Canis lupus familiaris: one gene and its partners. The protein of the gene in region 1 binds, or shares a complex with, the protein of each later gene. Links are inferred from orthologs where the notes say so. Each region holds a gene or a part of one and is shown in the gene's direction. Other genes may lie near its edges.

Region 1 (3,618 bases):
CCCTTGCAGGTACCATGCGCTTCAACCAGCCTGCCTACTCACTTCCCCCAATGCTCCTCCATGATTTCCTGCTCCTCCACCTTTGCTTATGCTCTTCTCTCTGCCTGGAATGCTACCCCTGACTCACCTCCTACTGGGATAGTGGAGACAACTTGGGCTTTGGAATCAGAGAGACATGGGTTCCAATCCTGGCTTCACAACTTATTAGCTGTATGACTTTGGAGAAGATCCTTGAATGAGTATTTAACATCTTTGCACCTCAGTTTCTTAATCTGTAAAAATGGAAATAATCATACTTATCTTGCCAGGTTGTTGTAAAGTTTAAATGAAATGACGTATACAAAGAAATTGACATAATCATCAATTAAAGCTAGTTCCTTATGATTTTTTTTTTATTATCTTTATTTTAAGCCCTAACTTCAAATGACACTTTTCACAGACATTTTTTTGGTACCTCTTCCCTAACCTAAAGGGATCTCTCCCCTGAACACGCGCCTCTTGACTCTTACCACATCCTGCCCTGTGTTAAAATTCTGTATTTAGCTTATCCACTCAACTAACTGGGAAACACCCCCTCACCCCACCCCACCCCCACCCCCAACGAAAGCGAAGGCTAGGGCTTGCTCTTCTTGCTTCCCAGTCACTGGGAGTTTGGCTCAGGGCTTTTTTCACAACAGACCCTCAGAAATGCCTGTTGGGTAAATGGAGGGAGAATGTCTATGTAAAGGGAAGAGAGATGTTGGGGCAAGTTGCTCTCTTACCAATAGAAGTGTGTGTGTTTGTGGGGAAGCTGTGTGCGTGGGATGGGGTCTTTACAGGAAGATAATGTGGTTGTGATGGGGTCTGTATAGGGACTGCATGTTTGAGATAATGTATATGTAGAGACAGTTTAAGTAGCTTTGTGGGAAAGAGCTCTGTGCATAAACCAGGGTGCAGATGGGGAAAATGAATATGCATAGATCGGTGTAGGTGGTGAGGGGCTGTGTTGAGAGAGATCAAGTCCAGCCCTTCAGCTGCCCAGTCCAGCCTTAAATGAGCCTCCAGCAGCCCAAGGCCGGATATGTCATTCTCACCCACAACCCCCCCCACCCCTCCTCCCCGTGGTTGCCGACTCAGAGGCCAAATTTGGTAACAGACTGAGTGTTACTCCCCCAACCCTCATACATTCTGACTTTGTCTTCAGCTTTCTCTCTCCCTTGTCCCTTTCCATAGCTCCCTGTCTTTCTGCAGCTCCCTTTGTGGGGCTCTGCTCTGACTCTATTCTCCATGTACCCCAAATTCTTTACCCCCAATACTTACATTCCATTCCTTGCTGGGATTTGACCTCTTGTCCTCCACCCCCACCCCACCCCCAATTGCCCAACTCCTCTGGAATGCATCTCAGGAATGTCTTGAGGGAGGAGGAGTTCCCTGGGAGGGGGATATGGTGGGGGGGGGGGGGACACTGTTGCTGTTTCATAAAACGTGATAGAAAAGGGAGCAAAGTTTTCAGGCCAGAGCAGGAACTGGATAGCTTCTCCCCAAACTTCCAAGGGCCTCGTTCTTTGCCCTCATCACCCTCAGTTAACTTCTCCATTCCCTTTCCTCCCTCACCATCTTGTCACTCTGTGGGTATCCACTCAGAACCAGCCTGGGAGGGTAGGCATGACTCATCTCTCTTATCGGGGTCTCACCAGAGGTTTCCGTGCTTGAAGAAGGGGGTGTCCATATGTCCGGAGGAAATGGGGGAGGCTTTCAGCTTAGAGTGGAGGATCCTTTCAGTGCTGCCCTCAACATCTCTGACTCCTCCACTTCGCTGACCTTCCAGCCCTCCAGCAGCCTCACAGCCAGGTCTGTCAAGCTACTGGGAGAGGTGACCGAGAAATGGGGAGGTGGGCAGAGAGCTGGGGAGACTGGAAGAGTCCTCATTTGTTTGGAAATAAGAGAGTGAGCCATGGTTTCTTGGGAGACTCTGGACTGTTTCTAAGGTCAGAAGCGGTCTAGCGCATCCCTGACCCGTACCTCTCCCACACAGGCCCGCCTCCTGTCTCTGGATTTTCAGTCTCCTCCACCTCACCCTTCCTAACCTCTTCACCCTCCAAAAACCTATCCCTTCCCAACTTCCCTGGCTCTCAGCCAGCCCCTGTACCCCAGCACCCCCACCTGTTCCAGCCTACCCCTGGTCCTGCGTTCCCCCCTTGGGGCTGGCAGCCTACTGGGAGGGGGTGGGTGGCCCAGGTTTGTTCATTCTCTTAGTTGAAAGGAACCAATCTCTGTACCAAACTGGGTCACATCATCAGCTGCCAGGCAGACTTGTCCTCTCATGCCCTGGGTGCCATCTGCCACCTGCCAGGAAGGGCGCCTCCAGCCTACTGAGAGGTGGTGCCAAGGAGGGACAGGGAAGTCAGGGTGTGGTGGGTATCTTGAGCTGCACTGAAAACACCAGCAAGTGAGACAGCGGGACGGACTTGAGAAGGACTTACTGAAGATGGGAGAACTTGTGAGGAGTTGTTGTGAGGGCAGGCTGGGTATTCGCTTGGTGACTTGGAGCAAGGACCAAGTTAGAGGGACTGGGCTCTTCATCTGACCTGCCTTGAAACTCCCCCACCTACCCCACCATGGTCTCTGATATCCATTCTGCAAAACTGAAGAGCTGAGATCCCTCTGGATTAGAGAATCATCATTCTAGCTTGACTGCCAGGGAAGCCAAATATGGGGCCAGGCTCCTTGGGAAAGCCCTTCCCTCTCTAGTTAGAGGAAAGCAGGGGGTGAGAGTAGGCTGTTTGGTCTCCCTGCTAGGCTAGCTAGAGTCGGTGTTTGCAGGCTTCGTTTGCAGGCTTCAGGATCTCTTGGGAATTACCTAATATAACGTCTTCATTTTGCAGAGAAGGAGGCTAAAGCTGTCAGAGGGAAGGTCACATGATGAGTCAGGGCAGAGCTCTGAAAATCCCAGACAGGAAAAAGCAAGACCTAGTTAGAGACAAAAAGAGAAAAAGACTGAACCAAGAAAAAATAAAAACAAGGCTGAGACAGGGCTAGAAAAGGAGCAGGGTAAGGAGCAAGAGAGAGAGAGACACTTGGCAGAAAGAAGGGAGGCACACATTCTAGTGGTAGGGACAAAATGGTGTCCTCAGGGAACACTGCATTGCAGACCAGACTCCTTCACATATCTTAGGTGGTTAGGATTGGTTCTTTAGGTGTACATAATCTTTCACTCTTTAAAATTCTGAAATAAAACAACTACGTTACTATTTGCTCTGGTAAGTCCCTCTCAAAAACACCTCTCCCTGGGGCTCCATCTTGGGGACCTCCTCTCCTCTACTGAGGATATGTTTTAATGCCCTGACCCCACGGGCCAGGTATAGCCAGGCTGGAGAAGAGAAGCTGCCACCATGGTTGCACTTTCGCTGAAGATCAGCATTGGGAATGTGGTGAAGACCATGCAGTTTGAGCCATCCACCATGGTGTATGATGCCTGTCGCATCATTCGTGAGCGCATCCCAGAGGCCCTGGCTGGCCCTCGTAAGTCTGAGTACCCCGGTGGCAGGTGGGGGAAAGTCCCTTGTTCCCAGGCTCTTGGCTTTAAGGGATGACCCCGTTGTCCCTCAAGGCTACACATCCCTCAGGCCTGTGCTCCAT
Region 2 (4,315 bases), on another chromosome or scaffold:
CTCCTCTAGCTGTATTAGCTACTTTGCTGTTCTCCCAGCATCCCAAGTACCCTCTTAACCCAGAGCCCTTGAACATTCGCACTCAAAAATCCACATTAATTAATTTCTCAAGTCATTTAGGTCTGGCTCAAGTGACACATATCAGAAAGATCTTCCTTGATGATCCTAATTAATAACAACAGCTCCATCCCCACTACCATCACTCCCACCTTTTAATTCCCTCCAAAATACTTATGTCACTCATGAGTTAAATATTAATTTGCAGAGACACATGGGTGGCTCAGTGGTTGAGCATCTGCCTTTGGCTCAGGGCATGATCCCCAAGTTACAGGATCAATTCCCACATTGGGCTTCTTGCACAGAGCCTGCTTCTCCCTCTGCCTATGTCTCTGCCTCTCTCTGTGTGTGTCTATCATGAATAAATAAATTAAATCTTTAAAAAATATATTAATTTGCTGTCTCCCAACTAGAAAGTACTATCCAGGAGAGCAGGGAATTGTTTTCTCCATAACTATTTCCATTGTCCCTAGATGAGTAGGTGTTTAATAGTTTTTCGTTAAGGGATGCCTGGGTGGCTAAGCAGTTGAGTGTCTGCCTTGGGACCAGGCCATGATCCTGGACGACGAGTCCCCCACGGGGCTCCCTACCGGGAGCATGCTTCTTCCTCTGCCTATGTCTCTGCCTCTCTCTCTCTCTCTCTTTCTCTGTCTCTCACGAATAAATAAAATACTTAAATTTTTTTTTTCATTAAATGATTGAACTATCTTAATTTACCTACTTTGTGCCTCGCATATGTCTTTGTCTTCTCCACCCCCTTCCCCACACATAAGCCCTAAAAGACACAGCTGTATGTATAGGGGAAGAGGAGCTGGATTCAACCACATTTACAAATCGTGCTTTTAACTTCTATATTTTCAGATCTCCCCTCATTCTCTCAGGAGGCCCCCCTCCCTCTGAGCAGCCTCCGGTTACTTCCAGTCAGTGCTGTGCTATTACAAATCATGCGGCCGAGAATGGGCGTGGGTATATATGCAAAACTCCGTGTCACCACTCCTATCACCCTAATACATTCTGAGAAGTGGGATTTCTGGATCAAAGGATAACTGCATATGTGAGTTTAATAGCTATTGCTGAGTTCGCCTCCGCGGGGATCACCGGATTTTTGGGTTTCCACGGGCAGCGGTGTGCGCCAGCGAGTGCCTGTTTCTTCACGGCCTCGCCGGCCAACTCAGTGTCGTTAAGCTTCAGGGGGGTTGGCCAATCCGACAGTTGAGAAATGGCCCGGACCGAGCGCGCCCTTCCCCACCCACCCGATCGCTGACCTCGGACAGCCGCGCCGCGTCACCCGGCCGGAGCGCATCCCCGCGGCGTGGCGAGCCAGGCAGCTGCGCGCACGCGCGGGGCGAGGTCCGCGCTCGGCACGCGGGCGCCGAGGCCCCCAAGGGTGGGCTGCGCGCCGCGGAGATCCGGCTTTGCTCAACCCTCCCGAAAGAGGAAGCGCGGAAGGGCTTGAAGCAAACACTTAGGCCGACCGTTGCAACAGCGCTCAGGGTGTCGGGCTTCTGCGGAGCCGTCGTGTGGCCCCACATCCCTCAGCCACGGGTGGACCGAGTGACGAGGCAGGATCGCTGAGCGAGGGAACGAACGCTCGGAGAGAAGGGGGCGCGCGGAGGGGAGGGGTCAGACGGGAAGGCCCAGCTTCTCCCAGAACTTAGAAAACCAAGAACTTTCCCCCCCCCCCTCCTTCAAGGGCGTGGCGAGGAGGGGGAGGGCCGGGGGACATGCGGCTCGGAGCCGGGAGCTGGGAAAGCAGCAGCCCCCGAGGCGCAGGAGCCCTCCTCCACACGTCCCCCCGCGGGGGCGCCACACGGCGGCGCGCTGCGCGGGGAGGGCAGGGCCGACACCACTTCCTCCAGCGCCGCCGACCTGAGCCGGGCGCCGCCCAGTGTGCGCTTCGCCTGCCCCGCGGCTGCCGCGCCGCGCCGCGCCCGCGCCCGCCCCAGCCGAGGCCCCGGGAGCCGTCAAGGTAAGCGGCCCGGCGGGGGCCCCGAGGGCCGGTGTCTCCCGCGGGTCTGCGTCTGACCCCGGGTCCGACCCAGCTCCCGGCCGTGGCCCGGAGGACTCGCGCGCCCCGCCCGGCCCGGCCCTCGGGGGGACGCGCGGCCCCGGGATCCCCGCTGCGCCCAAAGCTGCTTCGGAGGTGGATGGAGAAGTGGCCGAACCCTCGCCTGTCTGGCGGCCCAGGAGCCCCGACTGACCCCTCCGGAGGAATTCCGGGGGGCGCTCTAGGGCACCGTACATCCAGGGCCGGTCGTGTGAGAATTTGAGATTGACGATCGCAGTCTGACGTATCTTAGGGTGTTTCCTGAGTTTAAAACTTTTGGACAACCGTATCTTCTTTTTCTTAAAAAAAAAAAAAAAAAAAGTCTTTACTAGTGATACTCCTTTTCGTTTTAAAATAAGATAGAGGGGGACGACGCCTGGGTGGCTCAGTGGTTGAGCGTCTGTCTGCCTTTGGCTCAGGTGGTGATCCCGGGGTCCTGGCATCGAGTCCCGCATCGGGCTCCCTGCAGGGAGCCTGCTTCTCCCTCTGCCTGTGTCTGCCTCTCTCTCTGTGTCTTGAATGAATGAATGAATGAATGAATGAATGAACCTTTAAAAAAAATAAGATAGAGGAACGATTTGGACACCAGGAGTTAGTCTCATAATTTGGCTTGGAGCGAATGGCCAGAGTGCCATTTTGTAGCACGAAAGAAACTAACTAGGATGTCCTGATATCCAGGAGTCGCCCTGAACCCTTGACCCCCTGCACCTCTTATTTTTCTTCTGGGAAGGTATTTCTTGTACATACCCTTGTGGAACGCTAAAGGTGTGGTTTCCTAGAGGCATTCTAAATTCTCGGCCTCTGAACAGAAATTTCAGAAAAGAGAGCTTTTGTCCCTTGGAATAAACCACCACTGACAATTTTCCCTCTGGCCTCACTGAAATAGTCTTATAGTTAAGACTAGCTGACAAAATTCACAGAAAATGTGCTAAGAAACCTTCCATAACCTCTTCCGGGTAGTATTTCCTGTCTGTTCAGTATGTTGTGAAAGGTCTAAGAAATATAATGTCATCTTTGGGTTATTAGTACTTAATAATTTTCACAGTGATACTAATATTTGTGTTTTTTCTTGGTATTTGGATCTGTTGAAAAACTGAGGTGGGGCATTGTTGTGCCCAGGCTTGGGCAGATCAACATTAGATTTCAAAATTCTTCAATTATTATCTCTCAAGAAATATATCTTTATAATATGGATTATATTATGATTTAGTTACTTTAAATCTTAAACATGATACTCATTAGGCTATACAGTGTCCATTAATTTTTTATATTTTTATATCCTAGGAATGAATACCAAATACCTAATTTTTTAATGTTTATTAACTTATAGTAAAAAAGTTCTAGATATTTTCATCTTATTATTAAAATGAATCACTTATAAAATTTATTGCCATAAATGTCTATGCTTGATATGCCGCTCTGAATTTCTTTAAACCATACTACTTTCTTTTCTTTTTCTTTTTCTTTTCTTTTCTTTTTTTTTTTTTTTTCTTGAGAGAGAGAGACAGAAATAGTGAGAGAGAGCAGGAGCAGGGAGGAGAGGGAGAAGCACATTCCCTGCCGAGCAGGGAGCCTGACATGGGGCTTGATCCCAGAACCCTGGGATCAGGACCTGAGCCAAAGGCAGACGCTTAGCTGACTGAGCCACCAAGGCAGCCATAAGCCATACTACTTTCAAAAGCATTATTTTTATTTACTTTTAATTAAAATCTTGTTTTAATTATTTTTATATCCAAAACCTTGTAGTGAGTCCACAGATCTTATAATAAATTAAGTTGGCATATCATAGCTTGCCACACCAAAATATTTTCCATTTTAAAGACCTCATGAGTTTATTTTATAGGCCATAGAATGATCTTAGTAATTCTCACCTCAAAATAGAGCAATTCTTATTAACATACTTTTAGTATGTAAATATGTCTATATATCTTTTAAAGATTTTATTTATTTATTTATGAGAGACACACAGAGAGAGGCAGAGACATAGGCAGAGGGAGAAGCAGGCTCTCTGAAGGGAGCCCCATGTGGGAGTCCATCCCAGGACCCCAGGATCATGACCTGAGCTGAAGGGAGACACTCAACCACTGAGCCACCCAGGTGTCTCAATATGTCTAAGTTTTATGTCAGTTCTGTCATTCTATGTGACAAGTAGCTTAAAGTTTAAGCAATTATTATAAATTTAAGTAATTCATTATAAATTCAATAAATGCC
Region 3 (3,618 bases), on another chromosome or scaffold:
GGCATCTAGTTGCCTATGTCCTTGTTTGGTTTGGTCTGTTTGGTTCTGTGTTTGCTTTGTTATCAAATTCTTCTTGCTTCCATTGTTGATTTCTCTTTCCCTGCTTCTAAAATTTCTCTTCTTTCCAAGACCCCTTTCTTAGCGTTCACACACACTCCCCGCCTGCGCGTTGCCATCAAGAATTACTTTGCAGACACGCAGACAGACGCCCGCGTGCACACACAGCGGTTTCTGCCACCAGCCACTTTTTCCCATTAACTGAATTCCTGCCGTGTGACACATCTTTCTGTCTTTGCCCCCAAAACAGCCTACCATCCCACGTGGCTGGAGAGCCAGCTCCCCGTGGTTATAGGTGCCCCTCCCATCTCAGAGCTGTGCATTTTGCTCATGAGATGAACTTGTGCCCCCAATCACCTGGCCACCAGGTGAGACCTAGGAGTCGCCTCGCCTCCCATCTGGAGCCTGTTTCCATAACTCAGGATACCTGGCTCTTCCAAGATCGCAAATGCTCAGTAAAGATTACGAAGGGGTTCTGACCTCAATGTGGGATGGGTGCTAGGTGTCCCTCCTTTACAGGTGGGGCTACTTGAGGCTTAGGGTTGGGAAAGGACCTTCAGGGTCGCCAGGGGTGAGTGGTGAGGCCAGGACCTGCCCACCCGTGTGTGCTTGAGCAGAGGTCAGTAGAGGCTCACCTGTTGGTGGGCACATCCTCCCCACCTCTCCACAGAGGTGTTTGGAGGCAGGGGGTGGGGGGGCAGTTATTTGGCTTCCTGAGTCTTTTGTCCCCATGATGACCTCCTGATGAGAGGGGAAGAGGCAGGTGCAGGCTGGGGCTGGTGTGGGTGCTGTCCGGAGCCCCGCCTCAGGACTCCCCTGTCCTCGTGTCCCCAGGGTGGAGGCTTCTCCAGCTCATGCCTGTGCGGCTGCCGAAGCAGAAACCACCAGCCAGGCCTCGGAGCCCGCCAGCCAGGCCTCGGATGAGGAGGATGCACCCGCCACAGACATCTACTTTGTAAGTCCCCTGCAACTCCTTCCGTCACCAGACCCCTGACCAGGCATACACTCCTGCAGTCACACTCACAGAACACCCACGTGGACACAGTGCACTGACTGGTCAGCAGTCACATGCATACACTCTTGCACGCCCAGTGTGCCCTCACACACGTTCACATCACATGCTCACATGGCATGGGAGCACATTGCCTTCGCCATCCAGGCCAGGCTACTCCAAGACCAGGAAACAGCCCTGTCCCTCCTCCCCAGGCCTCGTGACCACCGCCAGGCAAGGCCCTAGCCATGCCACCGCATCTCCCTAGGAAACATCTGGAGTCCTCAAGCTGTGTGCCCCACCGGGCCAGCCTCTGAGGGCTGCAAACCATGTGGATCTTCTCCTGCTGGGTGGTGGGTACAGCTAGGCGGGTTTTGTTCTCAAGGATGCAAGGGAATTGTGGCAAGGGGTAGGTGTGCTTCACGCTGCCAACCTCACTGGCTGAGGACTCATGGCTGCTCCTGGATGGGGCGGGGTCTGTGGGAGCAAGAAGCGGCCCTCCCCCAGGGACCTGGGACCTCTCTTCCAGAGCAGGGGGTCGCCTCCCCCCGCTGCATCTCCCACAGGCAAACAGCTGGGCCAGGAGCTTGGGTGAGGTGGGTGCTGGGCAGCCAGGTAGCCTGCAAAATCCAGTCCAATGACACCCCCCCTGCCCCAGTGGGTCCTGGGGCTGCCTTCCTCAGGCAGCCCTACTGAGGGGTCAGGTCAGAAGGCCTTATGCAATGAAGGGGACTGCCTCTCCTCCTCCCAGACCTTCGATCTTGTTGGCCAGTGAGCTGGGGGCCTACTGCTGCTGCTGCTGCTGCTGCTGTGTAGCTAACACCACCTTGCTCTGTCTTGGGGCCTCCGTCGGGCCTGGAGAAGGAACAGGTGCACTGTCTATGCGTCCACACACCCGCCGTCATATCCCCATCCCTGGGGGCTTGGTTTGTGTCCCATCCTGTGGACCGGTGTGTGAGGTGGCCCCAGGGGGCCATGTCCTGTATGTGTGTCTGGGTCCTGACACCCAAGTGGGCGGCCAGGCCCTGTGGGCAGCAGAGAAGGTATCGGGCTGCTGTGGGACCCCTGCCACCCTGAAACTCACCTCCTGCTTGGCTATCGGCTTACCTGCCCCTGCCCAGCACCCTCCCCACCTAACCGTCCCCTGGATTCCTGTTGCCTCATCCTGTCCTCTGTTTGCTTCTTCCCCCGCCCACCCGGCCCGCCCAGTTCACCGATGGGAGGTACTGGATTTACTCTCCCCGGCATCGCCGACTGCGGGCCGTGACGCTGAGCTCCTCAGGGACTGTAAGTGACCACAGCAGGCCTCCAGGGAGCCCAGCCCCTGTCCCACCACCCTGGGCAGCAGGGAGCCACAAGTCCTGGCTGTCCCTCGTCCTCTGCGAAGGGACTTGGGGAAATAATCACCACGACTGAAGCTGGTCATGTGTCCCCAGTGATGTCACCTAGGTCCCTCTGAGGTGGGCATTGCTAGGCCGGTAGGCACACAGCCAGGGCTAAGGGGACTTGTCTGTAGCGATGGGGTCTGCATCTGACCCCAGCCCCTGGCTGTCTTTGCCCCCTCCCCAGCCTGCTAAGTCAGGGACAAGTCGGTAGACTCTTGTCTAATATTCAGACCTGGCTGCCAGTGGCCCCCCAAGGGGCATCTGCCCTGCAGAAGCAGGTGGTCATGTGGGTCAGCAAAGGGACTTCAAAGCCAAGCTTTTCGCTGCAGGAGAGAGGAGGTGGTATCTCCATACCTACTTGATAGTGGAGAAACCACGGGCTCAGCTCCCCAGGAAGCCCACAAAAGGGCACAGTTCAGGTAAAATCTGGGTCCAAATTCCCAAGCAGCCCCTGTGTCTAGTAGACACCTATTGTGCTTGGGACACTGTGGGTATCGTGTAGCCATGGTATTATCAGGACCTGTTACTTTCGTCATGAGCAATAAATGAGGGACGCAGAGAGGCCTAGGAACCTGCCCAGAGCCACACAGCACTCAAGCAGGCAAAACAAGTTGAATACTTGAAGTAGGAATTTCTGTTCTCAAGATGAGGCCCCTCAGAGGCTCCCATCCCCTACCCTAAATGCCTCTGAGCGTCAGTGGGTGTCCAGCACTGCCAAGCAAACCCAAGAAGTGGAAACCACTTCCCCAGACCTTCCTGCCATGCTGTGTCCTGCTGAGACAGGGATTCCACACCCCGAAGATGATCCAAGAGCTGGGGATACACAGCAGGCCCTGAGGCCCCCTGGGGAAGTGATTTGCAGAGGCTGCCTGGAGAGGGGTTGACCCGGACCAGAAAACACTCAGGATGTGGGGAGGCGGGAAGAGGAGGGGGCCTCCATAGAGGGCACAACGGAAGCAAGTGTGAGGGCTAGGTGAGTGGGCACAGACCCTAGGGCCTGGGGAGGATGTGTCCTTGGCCCCACTTCAGTGGGGTCATCGCAGAGTTCTGGATCCTGCTGCCCGCGATCCCTCCTTCCCCTGAGGCCAGCTCTTTGCAGAGTTCAGATGGAGATTCTTTTGTCCCACATTCTTGTCCTAGAGGGGCAGCTGCCCTGGCATCGAATGTGTGCTGCAGCTGCCCTGT

What was found.
Region 2: the proteins of TLN1 (region 1) and APBB1IP are in contact, whole or in part, in a crystal structure (PDB 4W8P), measured with the Mus musculus proteins. The link is inferred for Canis lupus familiaris from reciprocal best matches to the Homo sapiens genes TLN1 and APBB1IP. Residues at the interface, in NP_035732.2 of Mus musculus: Leu1492, Ala1495, Thr1496, Val1498, Ala1499, Thr1502, Ser1503, Cys1506, Asn1507, Arg1510, Val1526, Ala1529, Lys1530, Ala1533, Asn1534, Thr1536, Ala1537, Val1540, Ile1543, Lys1544, Asp1547; in NP_062329.2 of Mus musculus: Asn5, Ile8, Asp9, Met11, Phe12, Thr14, Leu15, Glu18, Met19, Leu21, Leu22, Ser25.
Region 3: the proteins of TLN1 (region 1) and PIP5K1C are in contact, whole or in part, in a crystal structure (PDB 1Y19), measured with the Mus musculus proteins. The link is inferred for Canis lupus familiaris from reciprocal best matches to the Homo sapiens genes TLN1 and PIP5K1C. Residues at the interface, in NP_035732.2 of Mus musculus: Pro209, Val210, Gln211, Leu212, Leu214; in NP_032870.2 of Mus musculus: Pro646, Leu647, His648, Tyr649, Ser650, Ala651.

What each region holds. Positions count from the first base shown.
Region 1 is NC_049232.1:52,548,781-52,552,398, reverse strand, and holds part of TLN1 (talin-1), read left to right. Parts: intron 1-127; exon of another isoform or gene 128-272; intron 273-1,673; exon of another isoform or gene 1,674-3,338; 5' UTR 3,339-3,371; coding exon 3,372-3,501; exon of another isoform or gene 3,502-3,618. UniProt on the Homo sapiens protein: High molecular weight cytoskeletal protein concentrated at regions of cell-matrix and cell-cell contacts. Involved in connections of major cytoskeletal structures to the plasma membrane.
Region 2 is NC_049223.1:5,059,202-5,063,516, reverse strand, and holds the start of APBB1IP (amyloid beta A4 precursor protein-binding family B member 1-interacting protein), read left to right. Parts: upstream 1-1,408; 5' UTR 1,409-1,619; intron 1,620-1,970; exon of another isoform or gene 1,971-2,026; intron 2,027-4,315. UniProt on the Homo sapiens protein: Appears to function in the signal transduction from Ras activation to actin cytoskeletal remodeling. Suppresses insulin-induced promoter activities through AP1 and SRE. Mediates Rap1-induced adhesion.
Region 3 is NC_049241.1:56,191,359-56,194,976, forward strand, and holds part of PIP5K1C (phosphatidylinositol 4-phosphate 5-kinase type-1 gamma), read left to right. Parts: intron 1-891; coding exon 892-1,012; intron 1,013-1,799; coding exon of another isoform or gene 1,800-1,823; exon of another isoform or gene 1,824-2,218; intron 2,219-2,257; coding exon 2,258-2,335; intron 2,336-3,618. UniProt on the Homo sapiens protein: Catalyzes the phosphorylation of phosphatidylinositol 4-phosphate (PtdIns(4)P/PI4P) to form phosphatidylinositol 4,5-bisphosphate (PtdIns(4,5)P2/PIP2), a lipid second messenger that regulates several cellular processes such as signal transduction, vesicle trafficking, actin cytoskeleton dynamics, cell adhesion, and cell motility.